Oreochromis niloticus: one gene and its partners. The protein of the gene in region 2 interacts with the protein of the main gene of each other region in a pairwise test. Links are inferred from orthologs where the notes say so. Each region holds a gene or a part of one and is shown on either strand. Other genes may lie near its edges.

Region 1 (8,001 bases), on a different chromosome or scaffold from region 2:
CGAGGCATCAAAGAAGTGCAGAGCACATGGCTGATTAAAACTAAACCAGCAGATCTGACAAACTGGGAACCCATCACGAGTAGGAAAGAGTGCCAAAGCATGTAAAGAGTTGAATATGTAGTCAGTCTCAGAGTCCTGAATGGGGCTACAAATGCAGGATAAATGTATTAGACTTCTTTCCTGTGCACTGTTAGTTTCAACAGTGACATGTTTGTACAGAAACTGACATTATGTTGCTCGTACAGTTACCAAGTGATCCAGGACCCAGCAGCAAGTACTCTGCACAGTAACCTGTGCTGTTCATTACACATAGTGATAATGAGTCATCATCTAACTGCATCTTTTCATCATGTGATTTCATCCTGGATCCTCATCCAGTGCACTAAAACACACCCTGGTGTCAGACAGGAATCAATGACCAGCGTCAATTTGGGTGAAAATGAACACAACTCACTACAGTACGGCGTAAACAGCCACCATTGAACAACACAGGAAATCATTCCTGCCTGTGGTCATCTCCCTGCACAACTCCTCCATCTAATGCATCCATCACTGTAGCACACAGTGCAATAGTTACACCTGTTTGTACATCGTCTACAGTGAAAATACCAAAGTAACAAAGTTCAGCGTAAAATGTCACTCGTACATAGTTAATCTCTTCAATACTCTGGATATTTATAATTGAGCCGTTTGTTTATATACTAGAGCAAATTCTTATATTTGTAACTTTGTAATAAATTGTATCATTTAATTTAGTCCAGTCTGTTATTGTTCTTGTTGTCTTGGAGCGACTATAATCACATCGTTTCCATTAATAAAGTGTTCTGATTGATAACATCAGAGCTCATGAGTCTGACTGTGTATGCTGGCCTCTCCAATGTAAAAGGATAAGGTGCCATTAGGTAACTCCCAGCTGACATATTCCCTAAAATGAGGGAAACTAGCCCAGCGAGTTTTTGTTTCATGCGCGCACACACACACACACACACACACACACCTATCATTTGTTACATAATGCACGATGCAGTAATTTCAAACCTGAGCTGATTTTTACTTTAACACAAACAAGTCTGAACTGGTGCGTACTGTCGAGCTGTTCTCTGCAAGCTCATCCAAAAAAACCAAAAACCCAACAGGCTGAGGGGGATTTCTGACTTTAGTGACAAACATGAAGAAAACGTCTCATCTACAACTTTACACTCGTCTTCTAAACATCACAAAACCAAATACATGAGAACAAAGGAGCTTCACATGAACGCAGCGGTCTCCTGCATGATTTCAAATGATTAGCACTACTTGTTTGCATAAAACTTGTGTAAAAGTGGAGAGTTGTTTTCATTGTGAATTCAGAACAGATGTGAGCTCACCCTGCTGTGGTCATTAGAGCACCAAAGAGTGCACAGTGTCAGATTACCAAACAAGAAGCAGTTCTGTGCTGATCTGCAATGCTCCAACAGTTTAACCTGCTCTGCTTTGTATTGTGTGTTTCTGGATCCTGGAGAGGTCACTGGCTTTAACGCAGTGTTCTCACTGAGGCTGTGTTAGTTCTGAAAAGGACCTGGCACTCGACAAACATAACTCACGTGTTTCCACAGGGAGCTGGTTAAATCAGAACCAGAACGCTCCAGCATTAGGTCACACAGGGTGTGGAAGCCTGCTGCTGTCACTAAAGCATCAGTGCAAACCCCGAGACCTTTTCTCTGTGTGTAGACTGAGACGTGCTGAACATGCTGTTAACCAACTGGAAGGTTGGTGGTTTGAGCCCCAGCTCCTCCAACTGGTATGTGAATCATCTCTGCACAGACACTGAGCTCTGCAGAGATCACTATTCCCCAGCTTCGCCGCCTCGCCTTTACAGTCGTCTCTGTTCGCTGGGCTTTGACTTAAAACCTGGCTCATCAATGAAGAGAGCTCATCTTTCACACACGCACACCTGCACCTGGTGTAGGACAAAAGGGTGGAGCTGCATAATTCAGATTCTATGACAATCTGTTGGTGGTGATCACAGGGCATGAGTGACTATAATGGCCGATATGCACTAAGACGGCTGAAACAGTGAGAAGCCAATAAATCACTGTGCTGGTGTGAACAAAGTTGCTTCACATGAACATGAAGCCACAGCACCAAAACAAGGACTCCTTTGCTGTTGGCGCAGGTGTGGCAGCAGGACAAACATCTCTCACTGAAACACTAATGTGTCTGATAACTGCTGCTTGACAGGGAGTACCATCTGTCTCTAAGCCAGCGCTCTGTAGAATCATGATTCAACACCCTCACTTTATCACTTTCACGACGGCCTGTACCCTGGACAACGCCAGTAAAACAGCTGAAGTGACTGGGCTTGGTGGTGTCATTATGGGCGAGGCTGCAAGGAATTCCTCTCACATTGTGTTTCTAAGGAGGGCAGCAGAAAACTTATCGAACCAGTTACCGCAAACTATCCACGGCTTATCAGCCACACCCACTCTCCAGTTAATGCACAAACTATGTAGTCTAACTCCGAGTTTCGGCCCTGCCCGTCTGTCTGTAGCTCATACAGACACCACCTCAGAACGTTTACATCCAGCGATCCATCAGGACACGATGATCCAAGCCTCTGTTAAAGCGCTCGGACGGACAGCTCCGCGTTCTCTCCATCTGCTGCTTGTTTAGCGCAGCGCCGCGACCGCTCTGTGTGCACAAACAAGTAATACAATATGCGCATATAAACTGCGAGCTCCAGTTCAGCCGGGCTCACCCGGGTGTGATCATTTAACCATCCTTTTGTCTGAGATGTGGCGTGAGTCCGCTGATCGTGTAGAAAGGTGAAATCACTACAAGTTAAGCACAGATGAAGCTCGCGAGCCGCTCTGAAGGGCTCGAGCGCAGAGGAACAAGCTCCTACTTACGTCTGTTTCGGCTGCGTTATCGTGGTGGACTTGCTCTTCTTCTTCAGCATGATGAAGGTCACCTGTCAGCGGCTTTCGACAGAAACAGACCCAGCAGTACAGGTGAGTCTCGGCTGCGCGCGCTCGCTGCGTCGCTGTGTGTCAAAGTCAGATATGTCCACGCGCCCTTCTCACTATCAGAGCGTGCCGTCCCAGCTCAAAGTACCAGAACCAATGAAGTCAGCGCTTCCAGCCTGACCTTCTACCTGTCAGTACCGCGGGGTGGGAGGGTCCAAACAGCGAGGCCCCGCCTTCATAGCCTTCCCCTCTCACACCCACGCAAACACGTTGTGTGTTCCACTGAAAAAGTGAATGAATTCTACAGTAAAACGAGGCGCGTCCATTTCAAAGTTTCAGTTGGGAGTAATCAGCAGTTTGTGTGCTGCACCTGTAACATCAGCACGGCTGCAGAGGCAGCAACAGGCTGGCTCAGGTATGCAGCCGACCAGCTGCTGTATCAACGCGTAGTGCCAGCTGCAGACCGCTAATGGCCGTGCCCACTGCAGAACGGGCCTGTGTAAAAGCGAGATGTCCTGGTCAGAATGATGTATCTCATTTATTTCTTTCATATAAACATATGCGCGAACACCTGCAGGCTTGGCACACCCACAAGTTATTAAAAGTGCTGGGAAATCTTAGTTTTGACTCATAGCACCCACCTTGGGTGCTTGGGTGTTAAGGGAGTGACCTCTGTTAGCAGCATAATATTCACTTTTATAAGGCAAAAAGTATTTGGAAATACTTTGAGGAACATAAGAGTTGTTGATGTTTACTTCATATTCTCCAGATCTCTGGCCAAGTGTCTGTAGGATGTGCAGGTTTGATCACTGGAGGCCCCAGCTGCTACAGGTTGTTTCAGTGACCTTAGTATTGGGGTCACGGCAAATCAGAGCCAGTTTCAGACAGCTGGATCTCTCTGTTCACTGCCTTTTCCTGCAGTGTATGTATCTGAAAATACAACCTGTCCTGTGTGCATGACTGGCTTTGTAGCTCTGGGTGGGGTGTGGCAGCTAGGACGGCTCTGGCTGAACCAGTCGGACTTGACACTGTGCTCCTCTGTGTAAATGCTGTGTTGTGTTTGTGCAACAGTGACAGTGTGACTGCAGGAATTCACATACAGAGTAAAGGCATTTCATGACAACATTCACTCTGTAGTTTTCACTTTGACTTTTTAATTCAACTCACTTTATTTATCACACTTTACAACCTCCATAAATAAAAACCTATAAACCATGGAGGTTTATAGGTTTTTATTTATGGACTGCAAAACCCTGATTCTTTTTTTCAGTCTGTTTGCTGCTGAGCTCAGGATCGCCGTCCTGTTGATGACGTAGGTTGGTCCAAGCTTTGGCTGTGGGACAGAATACTTTGGCATCATGGTCCACTCAGTTGCTGCTAGGTCTCCCAGGTCCTGTGGCTGCACCTCCTCCATCGTGGTGACAGGTGGTATTGGGTGTTTGATTATCTCCAATGTGGCACTGTGCATTAGAGACTAACAATTCCCCTTTGGTGTGGTCTGTTCAGAGCACATTGTTGCCAAAGTTTTGTGGTTTGTACATAGCAAAGATGATCCTGCTGCCATTTTTCAGAGAGAAGAGGGTTTTTCCTGGAAGCCAGCTGAAGCTAATATTATATTGCGCTACAATAAAGTTCTGGGAGTTAAAAGTGAAAGATTACAATAACTGAAAAGCTGAAAAAAGCTGAAGCAGCACTTTTCTTGGCCCCTAATAATAATACTCCTTAATAATGGAGCACCATGTGGGAGGTGTGCTCAGGTGTAGAGCAGGTGGGTCGATCCCTGTCTGCTCCAGTCTCCATGCCAAGTAACCGTGGGCAAGGTGCTAACCCCACGTTGCTCCCCGATGCATCCATCGTGGTATGAGTGTGTGTGAACGTGAGATAGGAAGCACTGGCATAGATGAAAGTGTTTGTGTGAATGAGGCATGTTGTGTAAAGTGCTTTGAGTGCTCAGAGTAGAAAAGTGATCGATAAGAGTCAGTACAATGTTGTCTTGCAGTAACTCGCCTCTAACTCGTATTATTTTACCTGGGATTATGGACAGTCTGAACACGGCCTTGTGAAGATCAGCTGAATGTAGTCCTGGCCTGTGTTAACACTGTCACTTTAGTCTTTTCCTATTTTGAAGCTTTGTAAGGAATCAAGACGAGTCATTCATCTCCTGTGCTGGAAATAAAAGCTGTTATCAGTAAAAATGAGTATGTGGTCCTAAACAAGTGTGTGTGTGTGTGTGTGTCCCTTTCATAAAAACAGCCAAATGTTTCTTGATGTAGCAAATAACCCACAGGTGTCAAAAATGACCCGACACACCTCCTCTCTCTCTCCCTCCAGCATCATTAACATCCCAGGGTCGAAGCCTGCGTGGACCAACCAAGCCAGGGATCATCACCTGTCTCCACCATCATTCCCACAACTGAACATCCTTAAAACAAAAGAACTCATAATAGACCCCACCCTCATAATCCGGTCCCACACCACCACACTCACAAACAGCTTCTTCCCCCCCACAGCCCACCGCTGCCCACCCATGAGTCTGAGCCATGGCCTCAGTAACCCTTATCATTCAGGCCACTCACACATGGACTCCTCAGACCAAGTCCTTTCAACCTGTTCTTCTACTGTGTGCCTTTCTCTTGTTTTGTATATAATCCTCATGTTTTGTACATACTCCTCGTGTTTTGTATATATTCCTCCTGCCTGTTATTTATTCCTGCTGTCTTACTATTTATAGTTTATCCCTGTACTGTGTAGTGGAGCACCCACAATTTCCTTGTACAGGTATAGTGACAATAAAGGGCTATTCTATACTATTCTCACAGCCTTTCTTTCTCTTTTCACATCACCTCCACTCATGTCACAGATGAAAGTAATCATAAAGTTACTAATCAGGTTCCATCCAGTATTTTCACAGGGCTAACACAGAGAGACCCGCCACCCTCGCTCCATAAATGACCCGACAATCGTCAAGTGCAAAGGCAGAGCCTTCATGCTACGAGGCAGTACTGCTAACACTGGGCCATTACATGTTTTCATTTGCTAGATGCAAAGTTATCATTTAAACCTTGCCTGGATTATTTATTTCTGCGTGTTCCATTGTCTTCCTTGCACTGTAGTTCCTTTTCAGTCGCTCAGTGCCAGGCGGATTACATATGTAACAAAAATGTATGACCTCATTCATGGCCATGGGTGTAATTTCATAATCATGTCACAGTCCGGCACTTTTTGTCGGTGGTTTTGATACTGAGGCGTGAACATTTTTAGTCCAGCAGATATTGCCCCACCCCTGGGTGGAGCCTGGACCACATTTCAGTCAGACCACCTGCACCTCACCATCCTCAGCAGCAGCCAGTACGTAAGGACTCAGTTTTGACCAGACTGTCCTCTCTGTGTTACTCCTGTGAGCCCAACTCACTGGCTCCCCACCCTCTGACAACTTCCTTTACACCTGCAGAAGGACTAACTAACTACTAACTAACCCGTCTGACACAAAGATGATCAAACACTGGTTTCATTGTGAACAGACATCCACCCTGTCACCACAGCATTCCTCTGCTGACAGGGTGAGAGTTAGTGACACTGACACTGAAACACGAACAGCATGTCAAGCTCTTCCTGCAACTATCCCTCTAGTGCAGAAGCACTCTGACAGCTGGGTGGGTCTCATTAATTTGTCCATTTCAAGCAACCTTCTGAGCATGTTTTATTGTAAACCAAGAAATAAGATGAACGACCCACACTTGGCTTTATTTCAGATGCTCCAATAAGGGTTTAATGAATAAAAACTTATCTTTGTAACACTTTCAGCAGCACATCACGCTTGCATAGCTTCTCTCAGAGTCTTCAGATGAAGACCAGCAGTTTTTAGGTTTCAGTCGTAGAGGGTTCCAAGTTGAAGATGGCAAATTTGACAAGAAGCATACTTATTTTGACCTTTTTCCTTCCTGTGTGTGAATTTAACCCCCAGTGTGAGACTGAAAAAGCTGAGTTCTACTGGGACTGCAGAGGTTTGCTAGATTTGCCATCATGTGAGTTCCTGTTCTTCCATAAAATGAGCCTTAGTTTAAAGGATGCTTTGACTGAAGGAGGCTCAAATTCTCAAAGATTCAAATCAATTTTATTTATGTAGCTCTAAATCACACCAATATTCACCTCAAGGTGCCTCATTGTAAGGTTAACCCTACAATACAGAGAAAGCACCAACAAGAGCAAGCACTTTGGCGACAGTGGGAAGGAAAAACTCCCTTTTAACAGGAAGAAACCTCCGGCAGAACCAGGCTCAGGGAGGGGGCGGGGCCATCTGCTGCGACCGGTCGGGCATGAAGGGAGGACAACAGGACTAGGACATGCTGTGGTGTTTAGGACATCTTGATAATTACAAATTACAGTAGTGCAGCCTCGAAGTAAATGAACTAGTTTTTTTGAGCTCACCGTGAGAGGATATTCCTCATTAGAGACATCGCACAAACATATTTGCCTAGTACACACATTGAAGGACATATGCTTGTCGACTCCAAGACACAGATTAAGAGTCGCACTGTAAAATAAGACTTTGGGAGTATGAATTGGATTCACAGTATCTTCAATCTTCCCTTCAGTTATTTAATTTTTCATTATTTTTTGCTCGCTTTATTTTGTTTCTTTTTTTTTTGTAACTTTCAGCTCATTTCAGTTTGATTTTATTCTTCCGGAAATGTTCAGTGTGTTTTGTTAAAGTTTCATTTAAAAAAACGCTTACAGTGTTAGTTTTCATGACTTTCATGACAGATTTCCTAGATGGAAAGTTTCCATTTTCACCACCATCCTCCAGTTCAGGGCTGAGTGTGAAGCAGCAGGAATGAGAATCAGTATGTCCAAGGCTACAGTCCTGCGTCTGTCATATCTCAAAGACCTCATAGTACCATATTATCTAAAACAGAGCCCTTCTCTCTCAGACTGCTGGTTTATTTGTGGTTCCTAGACACGGCAGAGCCTTCAGCTGTTAGTCCAGTCTCCTGTGGAACCAGTCTGTCCAGTTCATTTAAGGTTTTTTCTTTATCAGAATGTGAACTTCAGCATG
Region 2 (8,052 bases):
AATTCCATCTCACCTGCAGCAGCTGTTCGGGTGTTGGCTGTACATCAGCTTCCTTTCTCATGACACCAAAGCTTCCTTTAAGACTAGTGGAGTTGACATGCTGCTGCAGCAGAGGCATCAGGTAACGAAGGGTTAGCAGCACCCCCAGTATTAGATGGCTGGGATGTTCATCATCCACCGGAACCAGCAGACCTGGAAAAAGGCGAAAAGGGCAAAAATTCCAAATTAGCTCACAAATGTTAACACAAATGATCTTAGTAAAATGTAAAAGGGTAGAAAAGACATGTCCACAGTCTGTGCTTGAAAGTGAGCCTGTGTGCGACCTACCCAGAAGAACATTAAGGAGCCAGGTGTAGAAGTAGCTAGTGCGTCTGGAGTGCTGGCAAATACTAACGGCTGAACTGGCTGCTGTCCGTCTAATGGTCGGGGAGCTGGACTTCAGATTAGCCACAAATGCCTTCAGCAGCACCTAAAACAGAAATAGTTAGATGATGATTACAAAAAAAAGTTTCCACTGGCCTATGATTTTTATTTTTTTTTTTCTACTTTAGCACACAGCAGGTGAATACCTTGATTTCACCATCATTGGCAAAGTGTCCCAGGGCGGACATGATCTTGGGCATTGCTGTAGCAAGTGTCTCCTGCACAGTCTCTTCCTGCCGCTTTGTGATTCTGGTGAGGCACGGCAACAGGTTGACCAGGTAAGGTCTGCGCCATAAGGGAGAGAGAAGAAGTATACATGAAGTAAAAGCAAAAAAAAAAAAAAGAATATGCAAGTAAAAAAAGCACAGATGATACTTTGATGTTGTCCCCACAACCACAGCAGACTCTAAACTAAGACATGTTGTGGATAATAGTTAAAAATAATGTAAAAATATTATAAGTTTGCATACCTGCATTTCTGCGGTCTGATGAGGTGGGCAAGCTCAGCAAACCTCCATAAAGCTGCCCTCAGACTCCGAGAGGCACCATTCTATTGAGCCACACAAGCACTGATATTACCATGTCTAACATCTGACCGTACTTTCTCTAAAGAAACGTCAAACAATTTCTTTTCACATCTAACACTGGCCTATAGTCTGAGAGTAAAGACATAGAAGGTGTATTAAAAAATACTCACTTTACAACCTCATGCCTTACCTTTTTAATTTCTTTGTACAATTCCAGCTGCAGTCTAGGCAAGTTGGAGTCCATCAGTGCCTGAAAATTATCAAAATGAATGATTAACACCACCACCAACAACACCAAACTTATTTTGACAATTTTGGTCATTAATATTCTTATTCATTTGTCCCATCTTGCAGATTTTGCTCACTTTGATTATTTTATTCAGGCACTCATCGGCTACCATCCGAACATCTGATTCACTGTCATCGCTGCAGAGCAGGAACATCTCCATGGCGATGCCAAGCAGTTTCTGAAACTCTGGAGATGTTCTATTCCCAGGACCAGAGAGAGAAAAAGCCAAAAATCTATTAAATTTTCTCAAACTGTTAACCCTCTAGCATAAACTCACAAAACTGAGGAGCAATACGTTTTTTTTCACAAAGGACATTACAGAAAAGAAAAAAAAAACTATATGTAAAGATGAACATGTCCCCACTTCATTCCCAAAATATCACAGAAATCAGTGAAATCAGGTGTAAAGCCACTACTGAAGCAGCTCTGGTTGCAAATGACATCACCCCGCACCTCAGACATTCTTTACAGAAAAGCTATCTTACCATTTATACAGTTAGTGAAGGTGATAGGAAACCCTAAAATAATGTAAAAAGATATGACTCACACCAACACATATTTAGATCAAATAACAAGGAATACCTCAGTGACTGAGCCACAATGTTTTCACATATTGTCAGACAGTGGGTCACCCTGTCCTTCTTTGTGGCAGCTTGCTCCTTTTTTCTGTGGAAGATGAGACAAAATGCAAAAGATGAGTGTGAGTGTGTGTGTGTGCACAAAGAAAGACTGAATTTAGGTATCTTGCTTATAGCCAAGGAATGCAGTGATTAAAATAATGACTATAAATCAGAGCCATCCCCTAAAACTGTATTCCTTACGCACGGATCCCATCAATTCATTTCTTTAAAAGCTATATAAATGAATTCCTATGCCTGTGTTTCAACCAACAACGGACTAGATCTGTCATAAAACTTCTTGGAGATGACGCAAGTGCAGGAAGCCCCCCTATGTTGATCATTCCATTCATAACCATTTGCATAAGCAGTTTAAATATTATTATGAAACTCAACATCCTCTGCTACTGAATACACAAAATTACGTCCTTGAAATTGATCCTCCTGACCCTTTCACGTGTTCTTGGCATCAGCTTTCTGTGTTGGCCATCATTCAGCTGGTCTGATCCTAAAATCAGGCTAGCAAACAATCAGATCGCGTTAGGATAGCGAGCATCGCTAAGCAGCGATCTAAAGCATGGCAACAAGTGTACCTAAATGGGCTGAGAAGTATGAATAACACCTTAGCCTCATTCCCAGTTTACGTTTTAGCGCAGCTGACTTGAAGCCATCTATTAAACGTTGGTTATCTACCCGAGATGGACCAACGCTGCTAGCACGATAAGCTAAGGGTCTAGCCTAACGGCTCCTAGCCTCCTATTCTGTCACCGCTGGACAAATATCAACTTACTGCCTCTGAGCGAGCTCCTCGGCGGTCGGTGGTCCCTGCTGCTGCTGGAATGACTTCAGAGACTCAAAGGCCTTCATCAATTTCTCCATGGTGGCCATTTTAGCAATCTACAATAAGCAAGCTTGCTTGACTAGCTAATATTTACTATGTGAGCTAACTAGCTAGCAGAGTAGGGGCAACTTAACGTTTGCGCACGTAGAGAGCAAGAGGTGCGTAGTGCGGCGAGAGTGCTAACACTGCTCGCGACAGCTACCACCAGCTCTCCGCCTTGTCTTCTCGCAGAGCGCCACTTATTCTTTCACACTACTATTCCTAAATAAATCAAATGCAGGTTGATAATAAGCCATCTTTGATGCAGCATTGCGTTTTCCCACCAATCACACCAGGAAGTAGCTTGTGTGACAGGTTTACTGAGAGGGGAAGGGTGCAACGTTAGCAGCCAATCAGAGTCCGGATTTTTGTTGAGTGGCTTTAGAAAGAACCAATACGACACTGTGATTTTTTTTTCTTTTGTTGTTATTGTTGCAGTCACGAGACCGCTGAAATCTGGAGTGCAGGACAGATTTGTTCAAGTGTAATTTACAAGTATTGACTTTAGTGTGTGCGCTGATAACGGTGGGTGTCAACTGATACGAGACCGTAGGAAGGAAAAACAAATGCACGGAAACCAGCCCCTCCTGACAGTTATTCGATCATTTATTCTTTTGTTAGTGCTATGATCTCTGACAAATTGGAAGAAGCAGGTAATGAATGGAGCAAATGTAGGGTCTAACGGCATAAAATATATAACTTATCTAACTTTAAGTATTTTACTCCTGATTTCGTTTCTTTTTTATTATTATATATTTATTTTTTCAGATCAAGCTAATTGCAATATTAGCATTTATTAGCAAGCATTTATTGGGATAATTGCTAATGAGTCTTTCACAGTGCTGTAGAGGAATTTTGGCCCACTCTTCTTTGCAGAATTGTTTTAATTCACCCACATTGGAGGGTTTTTTTTGTTTTGTTTTTTAGCATGAGCGACCTGTTTAAGGTCATGCCAAAGCATTTCAATTGGATTTGAGTCCAGACTTTGACTAGGCAGTCCAAAACTTTTTATATATGTAGATGTGGACTTGTTGGTGTGTGTAGAATCATAGTCCTGTTGACCCAAGTGTGCTTGGGTTTGAGTTAGTGGCCAGATACTCTCCTTCAGGATTTTCTTGTAGAGAGCAGAGTTCATGATTCCATCAATTACGATAAGTTGCCCAGGTCCTGAAGTAGCAAAGCAGGCCCAGACCATCATACTACCATTACTTCAGAATTTATTCTAATAGGCACCAAATCAAAACTGACTAAAGTTCCAACCAGAAGTTTTTCATTATCCAGTGATAACTCTGTTGTCACACCTTCCCCTCAGGTTAAGAGTCTTGGTGTCATCCTTGACAGCACTCTTTTCCTTCACATATAAATAATATCACTCAGTCTTCTTATTTTCATCTTTATCATATTAACCGCCTTTGTCCTTCAATCACTCCAAACAGTACCGCCATACTTGTCAATGCTTTTGTTCCATCTCGTTTAGATTACTGTAATTGTCTTCTCTATGGTCTGCTTCATAAATCTCTCCATAAATTGCAGTTAGTTCAAAATCGGCTGCTTGTATTATATTCCGAATTAGATCTACTAAACATATAACACCTGTTCTTAAACAGCTCCATTGGCTCCGTGTCAATCTTTAGATCCTGCTTCTTACTTTCAAAGCGCTTCATAACCTTGCTCAACTATATTTTTCTGATCTTCTCCATATGTACTCACCCCCTTGTACACTCCACTCTTCTTCAGCTTCCCTTCTATCTGTTCCACCTGCTCGCTTCCACGGAACTCAGAGCCTTTAGTTGTTCTGCCCCAAGACTTTGGAATGCACTTCCACCAGCTCTCTGGACTACAAACTCTCTCTCCACTTTTCAATTGCATCTTAACACCCATCTATTCAAAATTGCATAACCTTCATCGTGATTCCGTCTTAGTCTATTTTTACCTTGTTTAGCGTTTATACTTGCTTTCATACTTGTTTATTTTTCATTTACCTTATGTTTTTATTTTTATTTTCTTTTTGTACTCATGTAAGGTGACCTAGAGGCTCTTTAAATGCACCTATAAATAAATAAAATGCATTATTATCATCACTATGTTTGATTGCTGATATGATGCTCTTTTTATGAACCTTTGTGTTCTTTTGGTCAGCAGTGGTTTTCCCTTCAGAATTCTCCCATAGTTGCCATTTCTGCTCAGTCTCTTTTTTTTACTGTTGAATCATGAACACTAACCTTAGCTGAGGCAAATTAGTCCTGCTGTTCTTTAGATGTTGTTCTGGGTTTTTTTGGTGACCTTCTGGATAAGCTGTCAATGAGTTCTTGGAGTAATTTTGGTAGTCTCGTCACTACTGGGAATGTTCACCACTCTTCTAAGTTTTCTCCATTTGTGGATAATGGCTCTCACCTTGGTTGACTGGAATCCCAAGGACTTAGAAATGGTTATGTAACCCTTTCCAGACTGACAGATGTCAATGACTTTGCTCCTTAATTGTTCTTGAGTTCTTTAGATTGAGGCACAATGTGTTGCTTTCTGAGATCTTTCTGTCTACTTCAGATTGGTTTCTATTTACATGATTTCTTGATTAACAAGGCTGTGATTTAGCAAGAGTAGCATTGCTTTTCCACATATGGAGCGTGATGGCAAAATGCAAACTGCATCCAGGACAGAAACAACTCAATTTTGTTGCTTACACAACTTTGGCTCTTTGCAAGCATCTCCACAGACAGCATTCTAATGCTAAGATAGCCAAGAACTCAGAGTAATGTTAAAGCTGATTGAATACTGACCACAGCCCCAGATATGCTGCTTAGTGATGGTGATGACTTTCAAAGCAGAGCCAATGAGAATCGATAAGGATTTTTAATCCATAAGTGATATCGATTCCCATCCCCAGCTTCATTATGCCTTTAAACTGAAATCATTTAAAAATTGATTTTGTATTTACCCGGGTTATCTTTGTCTTACATTAAAATCTGATGAATGTTCTGAAACATCTAAGGGTGACAAATATGCAAAAAATAAGAAAAGAGGAAGGGGGGGGAAATACTTTTTTCCCCCAGCACTAGGTCATTACTTTTTATACTCTTCCAATTGATGGCCTTTTATTCACAGTAATAAAACAAAAAACACAGAACAAATAAGTCAAGACAAGTATTTTTATACAAATGGCAGTGTATTATTTCATAATTACAAATGTCAGATATGGTACAACAACCAGTGATACAACTTGTACAAGAATTAACAATGACTGCAGTGGTTGAACGACATGACTGTACAGATACAAAATAAAGAAGAAAAATCAAGAAGTCCCAGGCCGAGTTTGAAAACCCATAATCCATCCATCATTCCTCCCTTTCTCGAAAATATTACTTAACTGACAAATCTGGACAAAAGAACGTGAAACCCCGCAAAACCTCCCAGCCTGTGTCGGTGGTCATCCCAAAGCTAGACTTGAGTAAACTAAATAACTTGCGCTTCGAAACGTCGCTGGCGAGCGCCATCCCAGTGTTAGGGAAGTGGCTTGACTCACCATCAGAGTCTTGGAGGAAAGGCAGAAGAGAAGGAATGCGCTTTATGAATTCAAAGACTCAGCTGGTCGCCTTGCGATTCATAAAGATGTCCTCAGATACCAGTGAGATATGTTGGCACTAGAAGGTCATAATTTACATATACAAGGAACCTGAAGTATTACAAACTGATACATGCTTGAGTAATAAAACATATGCATTTTTCTAAACAGGCATTACAATGCACTTAGTGCGGACATTCAAAACTGTTGAGCTGTTTAAAGTTCCTTTACACAAAGGAATTTCTCTAAGAATGGACGGAAGGATAAAGAGGCTGAAAAAAGGCAGGATGTCAAAAATTAACTTGGTTATTGGCACATATAATAAAGGCTGTCAGTCTTTCTCTACTAAATTCTTCAGAAAACAAAGAAATTCTAATTTAGTTTATGTTGCTTTTGGTATCACTGGCAAAAAAACAGAAATAAAAACAAACCAACAAAAGGTTAAAGACACTTTTCCCATAGTCATTGTCAAAACACACCATTAGTGCAATGGAACGAAAAACAGAATTTCTTCACTGCTATATGGAAGGTGTAAGAGTAAAGATGGTCAAAACAATGATAGAGGCATGGGTGGTGAACACAGTTTAGTTTCCTTGTGAGAATGAGTGAATCAGTTACATGTTAGAAATACATAATTTACAAGGTTTTTGAGGCTAAAGAGCTAAAAGGCTAAAATCTACAGAGGCAAGCAAAATCAGCTTCAAATGTGCCTGAGAGCAACAACAAACGAAATAAAGACACTAAGAAACTCAATGACAAGAAGCCAGCAACAGCTAGATGCACCCATCTGATTCCTGATAATGGAATGTGCAACAGGGGACTCTTAGAATAAGCCACTTCTCCAAATTAGGCAATTACATAGGGGACCTATATGTGTGCCACTTTAAATGTATACAGTTTCAAAAGTGTTAGGAATTGAATCAAGCTCCTACATGATTCTGAAGCGCTCTATTGACAAAATGCAGACTTTGCTTTTCTGTAGAACAAAAAAATTGATTAATTATTCAGGTTATACACATAAAACTAACATGTGCAGGTGGGGTATTCACAGCATTAAAAACAGAAGGTGGAAGTAAACAGCAACTGCCTCCAAAGCTAAATTCATAAAATGGGCCTGAAATGCCTCAGAAATAAGCAAGTGGTGAACATGTTTTTTTAATATATATATAAATAGGGAAGGTAAAGAGAATGTATTTGCTCATGACTGATTAACTTGGAAGGAAACAGGGCTGTAGGAAAATGTAAAACAATCTTGGTTCTGCAATTCAGAACTCAACTGACTGTTAATTTCTCGGCCTCTACGCACATGAGCAACTGTCTCAGGTCATTCCTGAGAGAGCAACATCCAAGCTGTGAATATAGTAGTTGAAGGTGGCCATCATCAGTAACAAATTCTACATGTATCTCAAACACAGTTATAGCTAGGGAGGATAAATGGAGGCCAACTAGCGATCAGCCAAGCACAAAGGCCAAAGAAGGCTGACATCTGAACCAGCGGATCAGGCGCAAGAGATTTTTTTTGGTTGTTGTTTCTTTTTTCTTTTTTAAAGAAGCAGTTGTCAGCTGCAGGCCAGGTCTATGTTACATTTCCAACATCGCCTCCTTTATCATCTGTCTTCCTGTTCCAACTCAGTCAAATGTCTCCAAACACCCAGAGGCTTTCTGGTCTGCTTAAAAAAAATGCTAAATAATTCAAAACAACTGGACACAGTCAGAAAAGGAAATAAAAGCCAGAGAACACAGCAAAGAAAAAAAGA
Region 3 (7,289 bases), on a different chromosome or scaffold from region 2:
GTTACCTGCAGCTTGGACCACCTTGCACATGTCACTGATGTGACTGTGCAGCCTATCAAAGACGCAGACCAAGCAGGCGATGGCTTCTTTGCTGAACTGCATGCGGTCCTGGAGGTGCAGAGTTAGTTCCTCCTCGCTGCTCTGCTCCAGAGTCGACAAGAAACCCTTGGCATTTTCACTCAGGGGAGGAGGTGGCGGTGATGTATCTGCACATATGTAAAAATGATAAAGTCAGCAAATAACAATTTACTAGAATTCTTAAATATCACATTTTTTTTGAAAAAAATGAAAACAGTATATATTGCTAGCACAGTGTGGTCCAATGTGGTACAGTCTGGTATAAACAAGCATTTTCAAATTTGTTATTTAAATACAAAGCAAAGAAAAAGCAAATCTATCAAATACAGACTGTGTAGACTGGGACTAAAGTCTTGATAATACACTAAAATTCTGCAGTTTGTAGCCAGCAGTACATGCTAACAGATGAAAGAAAAGCTGCAACACTTGCGTTCTTTAGCCCACTATCATTCCCCTTTGCCTCACTATAATTTATTAGGCATCTTGAAAAATGGTCAATACACAATAAACAAGAATATCCTTAAATTACAAGGCATGAAGTGCAGTATTGTTGCATAAAATTAGCTATCAATATAAATAGTAGTGACTCACACTGATGTAACTTCATGAGTAATGAAAGTCATAAAGATACACTAAGTTAAATTGAGAATGAATGAATAAGGCAAACAGATTACAATAGTCTATGACAGACGATTTGTCATTTTAAAAAATTGCTAACCTGTTTTTGAATCCGATTGTGACTCTGATGGTGTCAGTAAATCATCTGACCCAGTGGGAGGAGGGGGCTGCTGCTGCTCCTCTTCCTGACGCTCTTCCTGACGCTCCTCCTGTTGCTGCTCTGGCCGCTCACCCTCGTTCTGGGCCTCTGGCACAGGAGGGGGAGGCACGCCAGAAGGCGAAGCCAGGTTGACACTATCTTCCTCCATTGGTGTTTGGTCAGGGATGGTTGCTGAGGGTGGGGCAGGGGTAGAAACGACTGGAGGATCTGGCTCAATACGTTTACGCAGAATGCGCACGTTCTCTTCCAACTGCAAGTCAGATAGACATAGAAAGAAGAAGGTGTTAATTCTCTTTACAAGTTATTACCATGAGTTTAAGCCTTAGTACAGCTAAGTATACGTATAGCGACACTGCTTTTTGATCCTTCGATGTTGGCTCTTCCTATCATTGTGAAGCAGAATTCACCAAGCGTTGGATTGTTCACCTACCAACAGGGAACGTGAGCTGGGATTAGACCCTACTGATGATGTGTAGTTGCAATAGTAATCCTGCTCAGTACAAGAGGAACTGCAGGTTCAGACATTTGGTGTATAGTGCTTGGCTGAGGAACCAAAGGTGCAAAGCTACCATCTGCAGGATTATGACTGAACAGCCCACCGGTGAAGGAGAGCTGTTTGTGACTGGACTGGGGGACTGGGGGACAGCCGAACAACGGCCGCCCCTCTCCAATTGTGGACTCATCTTTGTGGAGAACCTGGTGCTAAATAACTTCTAAACATCCTGATAAACGACCAATACCTGTCACTATGTGTACAATCAGGTTAAGGCAGGCAGGTGGAAAACATGTACAGGATACATAGGAGGAGGAGCCTGGACCTATGTATATAACAACTATCCTCCTAGACATGCTGATCAATCTGGATGAAACCTACTATATAACCTGCCTAAGGTTCCAGAATTATCTATAACACCTATATAGCTGTTGGGAGTTATTTTTATAACACTCAAATCCTTACAAATTATAAAAAGATGACAATCCATCAGATGGAAGAGCTGGGCAATGCTTTCTTAATTTATACATGCACATGTGCCTGCTATAAGTGGTAGCACAAAAAAATGTTAAGATCTGTAATTACCAGATATAAGCCAAATTGGTTTGCCTCATCCAAATGCAAGCGTGCTAAAAATAGATTCATCTGACTGCTGTGTTTACATGAGGTTTTGATAAAATGTGCCAGTTCTTAAATCAGGTTAGAGTGGAAACTAAAATTCAAGAATGGATTCTAACAATATAATGAAATGCACAGAATTACCTGTGACCAGTAGCGATTAACAATCAGCAAGGTAGTGTCATCAGTGGCTTGTCTCTTCTCCAGCTTCTCAATTTTCTCTCTCAGCTCATCCTCCATCGCCTGTCTCTGCTCCAAGCGTTCACATAGCTTCTTATTCTTGAACTGGAGAACCTTCATGTCCATTTCCTCCTGTAATTAACAAACGCATACAAACAGAGAAATGAAATAATGAGTGTTAGGGATTGTAGATGTTGTCTGGCAAAAATAGATGACAGATTGTGCCTTGAGAACGTGATGACCATATAACTCACCGTAGAGGAGACTCCAGCTATGCGTATTGGCTCAATTAGCGTGGTGGTGGTCTTCTCTTCTTTCTTGCTTTTCTTTTCAGGTGGGCCAGGGGGGCTGTCCCCGCCTGGGGGACGCTTTCCTCCCCCAGCACCTGACATCTTTCCTTCCCTGCATTACATCAAGCAAGGCATGAAGAATTATAATTCATTCATTTTGTGACAGCAAAGGGACGGCGTTAGCCTTAAATCAAAAATGCAGACCTCTAATTTTAAAAGGTTCACTTTTCTGCTCCACTAGCATTTACATGCCGAGTTATTACTGTATAAAGGCATGCCTGCAGAACTACCAACCATCTTAATTCCATATTGCTACAAAGATTAAAGATCTTTTGCAAGCTTGCAGCTTGCTACCGCTAACCATGCTAATGCTACGCTAAGGCTAACGGACGGCGTTATTGAGTCAAGATTCCGAGGTGGTCGGGGTTTTTATTCATTATCCATCACTACATACACAAAATGTTCTTAAACAGTTATATGTGTGTCTTTTTACAAGAGAAATTTTATCATTACAAACCTTAACAACCAGTAGTTGAAACGTAAGTCAGGACATCAGAGAAGCAACAGGAAATATGCAGCTAACGCTTCTTCTTCGTTGGTTTTAAATATTCATTACAATAACGGGAGAGCATTAGCGCCGCCTATTGCTTGCAATTCACACAATGTAAAGATCAAGTATTCCCGTTGGTAACAACAAGTTGTAAATTAAAAAACACACTCAAAACACGGACTACTTCCTTGGGATACGGTGCTTTGAAGTGCAGCTACTTGAATTTATCTGGAGAGTGTATTCGAGACCTCAAAAATGCAAACCATGCTGCCACGTCCCCTCCGGCCTCTCGGGGGCGCTGCTGCGGCACACTGTAATAATAACTTCCAGGACTGTGACCAGAATGTAAACAGTGTTCAGGTGATAGCTGACTGCTGTTAACGCTAACGGTAGCTAATTTCGTTACTGTAGCCGCTTAATCGCACACGTTATGGCTTCACAATAGATTCCTCGACCCCGAGAGGGCTTCCTGATTCCCCGTTTCCCTCTCTGTCTTGTCGTTTGATTGCATAAATGGTGAGTAGCTTCCTGTTCGGTCAGTGAACCTGCTGCTGTATCAAAGCCATAGCAAAGACAGTTACATAACCGTTTTGATGGACCTCTAAATAACAATAGGTAGAGGAGATGTGTGTATATATAGAAAGTAAAATGCAAGTTTGACCTGCTAACTAGATTTAAACTAAAGCTAAGGGCACAATACTTCCTTATCAGGAGTTAGGTAACTAGTTCCTGTTTATTTAGAACCACTGGTACAAACTAAGACACGTGACTGTTCTTTTAACAGCTCCATAAGCTGTAAACATGACCAAAGACATCGTTGTTGGGGACGAATTACCAGACTGGGTGGGGGCCAAGGAGTTTTATCAGAAGTATGATCCTAAAGAGGTGATTGGCAGGTAAGTCAACCAAAATAGCCTGGGTGTTGTGATGTTGTGAAAAAGCATCCCCTCCACCCCCCCTTCATGATTTGTTTGTTGTTGTCGTTGTTTTTGCACATTTGTTACACTACATGTTTCATATCATCAATAAATTTTAAATATTAGACTAAGATAACCCAGGTAAATTCGAAATGCAGTTTTTGTTTAGTAAAGGTGGAAAAAAAGTTATCCAAACCTACCTGGCTCTGCGTGAAAAAGTAATTAACCCTCTTGTTAAATCACAAATTGACCGTGACTAACCACATTTTTTTAAAGAGAACAAACCACACCCAGGCTTGATTACTGCCAGACTGCTGAATAAAGAAATAATTTAAACAGAACCTTTCTGACAGGTTAAAGTAGGCTGAAAGATCTCAAAAAGTAACACATCATGTCATGATCTAGAGAAAGAGCTGAGAAACAAAGTCATTGACATCTATCAATCTTGGAAGAGTTACAAAGACAAGCCTTTGGTACTCCAGTGAATCACAGTAAGAGCCATTATTGTCCACAAATGGAGAAAACCTGAAAATGCGGTGAACCTTCCCAGTGGCCGGCCTTAACATGACTCCAAGATGCCACTGAAAAACATCCAGGAGGTTACAAAAGAACCCAGAGCTATATTTAAAGAACTGCAGGCCTAACTTGCCTCAGGAGCTGCTTTACTGCTTCAGAACCTCAATAACTTGCTATAATTGATGAAACAATGAATTCTGCACTCTACCAGAAGATCCAGAAGGAGAATGTACGGCCATCTGTTAATCCACTGACACTCAAGACCACACAGGTTATGCAGCAGAACAATGATACAAAACACACCAGCAAGTCTGAATTCTAAGAAGAGTGGGACAAAATTCCTCCACAGTTATGTGAAAGACTCGTTGCCAGGTATTGCAAATGCTTGAGTGCAGTTTTTGCTGTCAAGGGTGGCACAGCCAGTTATTAGATTTAGGGGGGCAGTACCTTTTTCACACAGGGCCATGTAAGTTTGGATAGCCTTTCTCCCTTAATAAATGAAATCATCATATAAAAAAGTGTGTTCAGGTTATCTTTGTCTAATATTAAAATTAGCATATTGATCTGAAACATGTAAGTGGAACGGGGCAAATGCTGTGCACCGTGTGTCCTTTTTGATCATGTTGAAAATACACTTTATTGTATGCTCATTGTCAGGGGTGTGAGCAGTGTGGTGCGCAGGTGTGTGCACAGACACACGGGCCAGGAGCTGGCGGTGAAGATTATCGAGATCACAGCTGAGAAGATGACAATCCAGCAGTTGGAGGAGGTGAAAATCTCCACGCTGAAAGAGATCCAAGTGCTCAACATGGTGAAGGAACACCCCTCCATCAGTACGTTGCTGTTCTCTCTCCTTTTGTTAAAGAATCATTAAATTTATCTCCATAAAGTTTGGTTAGTGTTAAAGCTTTCTTGTGTTTCATTCCCTTTAGTCACCCTCATTGATTCCTATGAGTCTGCTACATTCATATTTTTGGTGTTTGACCTGTGAGTATGAGGACAAAAAAACTATTAAACTAAATTTTTTTTACACTCCCAACCTGAAATTCAGATTTCTTTCCACAACATTTGTCAATTTGCTGTCTTTTGTTGTCAGCATGAGACGTGGAGAGCTGTTTGACTACCTCACAGAAAAAGTTACCCTAAGTGAGAAGGAAACCAGGTGAGCCACAGCATGACTGCACTATATCTGTATTAATTAATACTAGCAGCATTTTGCATTGGGCACATGATAAAGTTCTGTTTCTGCAGACCATATTCCAAAATATGCCACCCCACAAGATTTTATATAAAAGTTATCCAGCGAGCAGCTCTGCATTAAAGAGCTGCTGAATATCTAAATATAATCACACGTTTGGTGTCGCCACCCACTTTTAATCTCGTGTCACGCCGCCCAACTTAATCTCACATCAAGAAAGCGGAAGCCTGAAAGCTGCAGCTTTTAAAAAGAAAAACACTTTATCGACAAAACATTCATGTTTTTGGGGGTTGTTTTTATATAAAACTGCTCTTTGTAGTTTTGTAGTTTTTGTTATTAGCGTTGTCCTGCTGAAAAATGCAAGGCCTTCCCAGAAAAAATGTCTGGATGGGAGCACATGTTGCTCTAAAACTTGCATATACATTTCATCACAGATGTTGCCTTTCCAGATGTGCAAGATCACAGTCACAGTGCTGCTTTTTAGCTTTGTCACTTGCGTACAGAGATTTCTCCAGATTCTCTGAGTTGAGGTTATGGGAGTTCATATTATGTATAGTCGTCTTTGCAACTCATTGAGGAACATTATTCTGAAATTGCTTCACAATTTTTAGATGCAGGTTTTTGCAGATTGTTGACTCTCTACCCATCTTTATTTCTGAGAAGCTCTGCTTCTCTAAGATTTTCATTTTATAGCCAATCAGCAATGTTGTGTATCCCATGAATAATCAGAATAATCAGGCCAAAGATGATTAAAATTACACAAACATATTACACAGTGTTTACTGTGAACCTTAGACATGCTTGGACGAAATCTATTTAACAAGGATCTAATGTGTGTATTTCGGTTCTCTATAGGAGCATGATGCGAGCTCTGCTGGAGGCCGTGCAATACCTTCATTCCCTCAACATCGTACACCGGGATCTGAAACCGGAGAACATTCTCCTGGACGATTATGGCCATATCAAACTCTCTGACTTTGGTTTTTCCGTGCAGCTACAACCTGGGGAGAAGCTTCGAGGTATGGCTGTACATCATGAGCAGATCCTGTGACAAGTGTTCATCCATTATTAGTTTAAAACGATCTTTTCTGTTATAATCAGAGCTCTGTGGGACACCTGGTTATTTGGCGCCCGAAATACTAAAGTGTTCCATGGATGAAATGCACCCAGGCTACGGCAAGGAGGTCGATCTGTGAGTCTGTCTTTGTTCGGCGGAGATTTACAAACGTACTACTCCTTACTGCCATTTCTAACATTTGCATGGTGTGTGTTTCTAAGCTGGGCCTGTGGAGTCATCCTCTTCACCTTACTAGCCGGCTCGCCTCCGTTCTGGCACCGTAAGCAGATGCTGATGCTGAGGATGATAATGGAGGGTCGCTATCAGTTCAGTTCCCCAGAGTGGGACGACCGGTCTGACACTGTGAAGGATCTGGTAAGCTCATACAGTCAGCTTATTCTGTACTGTCTTCTGCAGCAACCCTAATATTGACATTTCCAGTGCAAAGAATAAATCATATTGCAGTATTTGCATCTCTTAAATCATTCATGTGTACTTGTGTAACCTTTGTGCTTGTGATACTCAGATATCCAGGCTGCTGGTGGTGGACCCAGCTAACCGTCTCACTGCTGAGCAAGCCTTGGCGCATTGCTTCTTCAGGCAGTACCAGCGGG

Evidence for each region. The genes of interacting proteins can lie anywhere in the genome.
Region 1: the proteins of htt (region 2) and ppl interact in binary tests that used the Homo sapiens proteins (3 or more experiments, as listed by UniProt). The link is inferred for Oreochromis niloticus from reciprocal best matches to the Homo sapiens genes HTT and PPL.
Region 3: the proteins of htt (region 2) and rnf40 interact in binary tests that used the Homo sapiens proteins (3 or more experiments, as listed by UniProt). The link is inferred for Oreochromis niloticus from reciprocal best matches to the Homo sapiens genes HTT and RNF40.

What each region holds. Positions count from the first base shown.
Region 1 is NC_031969.2:543,912-551,912, reverse strand, and holds the start of ppl (periplakin), read right to left. Parts: upstream 3,105-8,001; 5' UTR 2,939-3,104; coding exon 2,889-2,938; intron 1-2,888. UniProt on the Homo sapiens protein: Component of the cornified envelope of keratinocytes. May link the cornified envelope to desmosomes and intermediate filaments. May act as a localization signal in PKB/AKT-mediated signaling.
Region 2 is NC_031971.2:34,422,716-34,430,767, reverse strand, and holds the start of htt (huntingtin), read right to left. Parts: upstream 3,052-8,052; 5' UTR 2,745-3,051; coding exon 2,647-2,744; intron 1,906-2,646; coding exon 1,822-1,905; intron 1,437-1,821; coding exon 1,316-1,436; intron 1,201-1,315; coding exon 1,141-1,200; intron 974-1,140; coding exon 894-973; intron 709-893; coding exon 570-708; intron 470-569; coding exon 328-469; intron 193-327; coding exon 14-192; intron 1-13.
Region 3 is NC_031973.2:19,409,618-19,416,906, reverse strand, and holds the start of rnf40 (E3 ubiquitin-protein ligase BRE1B), read right to left. Parts: upstream 3,105-7,289; 5' UTR 2,955-3,104; intron 2,550-2,954; 5' UTR 2,540-2,549; coding exon 2,402-2,539; intron 2,280-2,401; coding exon 2,112-2,279; intron 1,107-2,111; coding exon 797-1,106; intron 207-796; coding exon 6-206; intron 1-5. Other genes in the region: phkg2 (phosphorylase b kinase gamma catalytic chain, liver/testis isoform), read left to right, coding at 3,789-3,883, 5,078-5,253, 5,353-5,407, 5,517-5,582, 6,474-6,637, 6,720-6,810, 6,897-7,050, 7,202-7,289.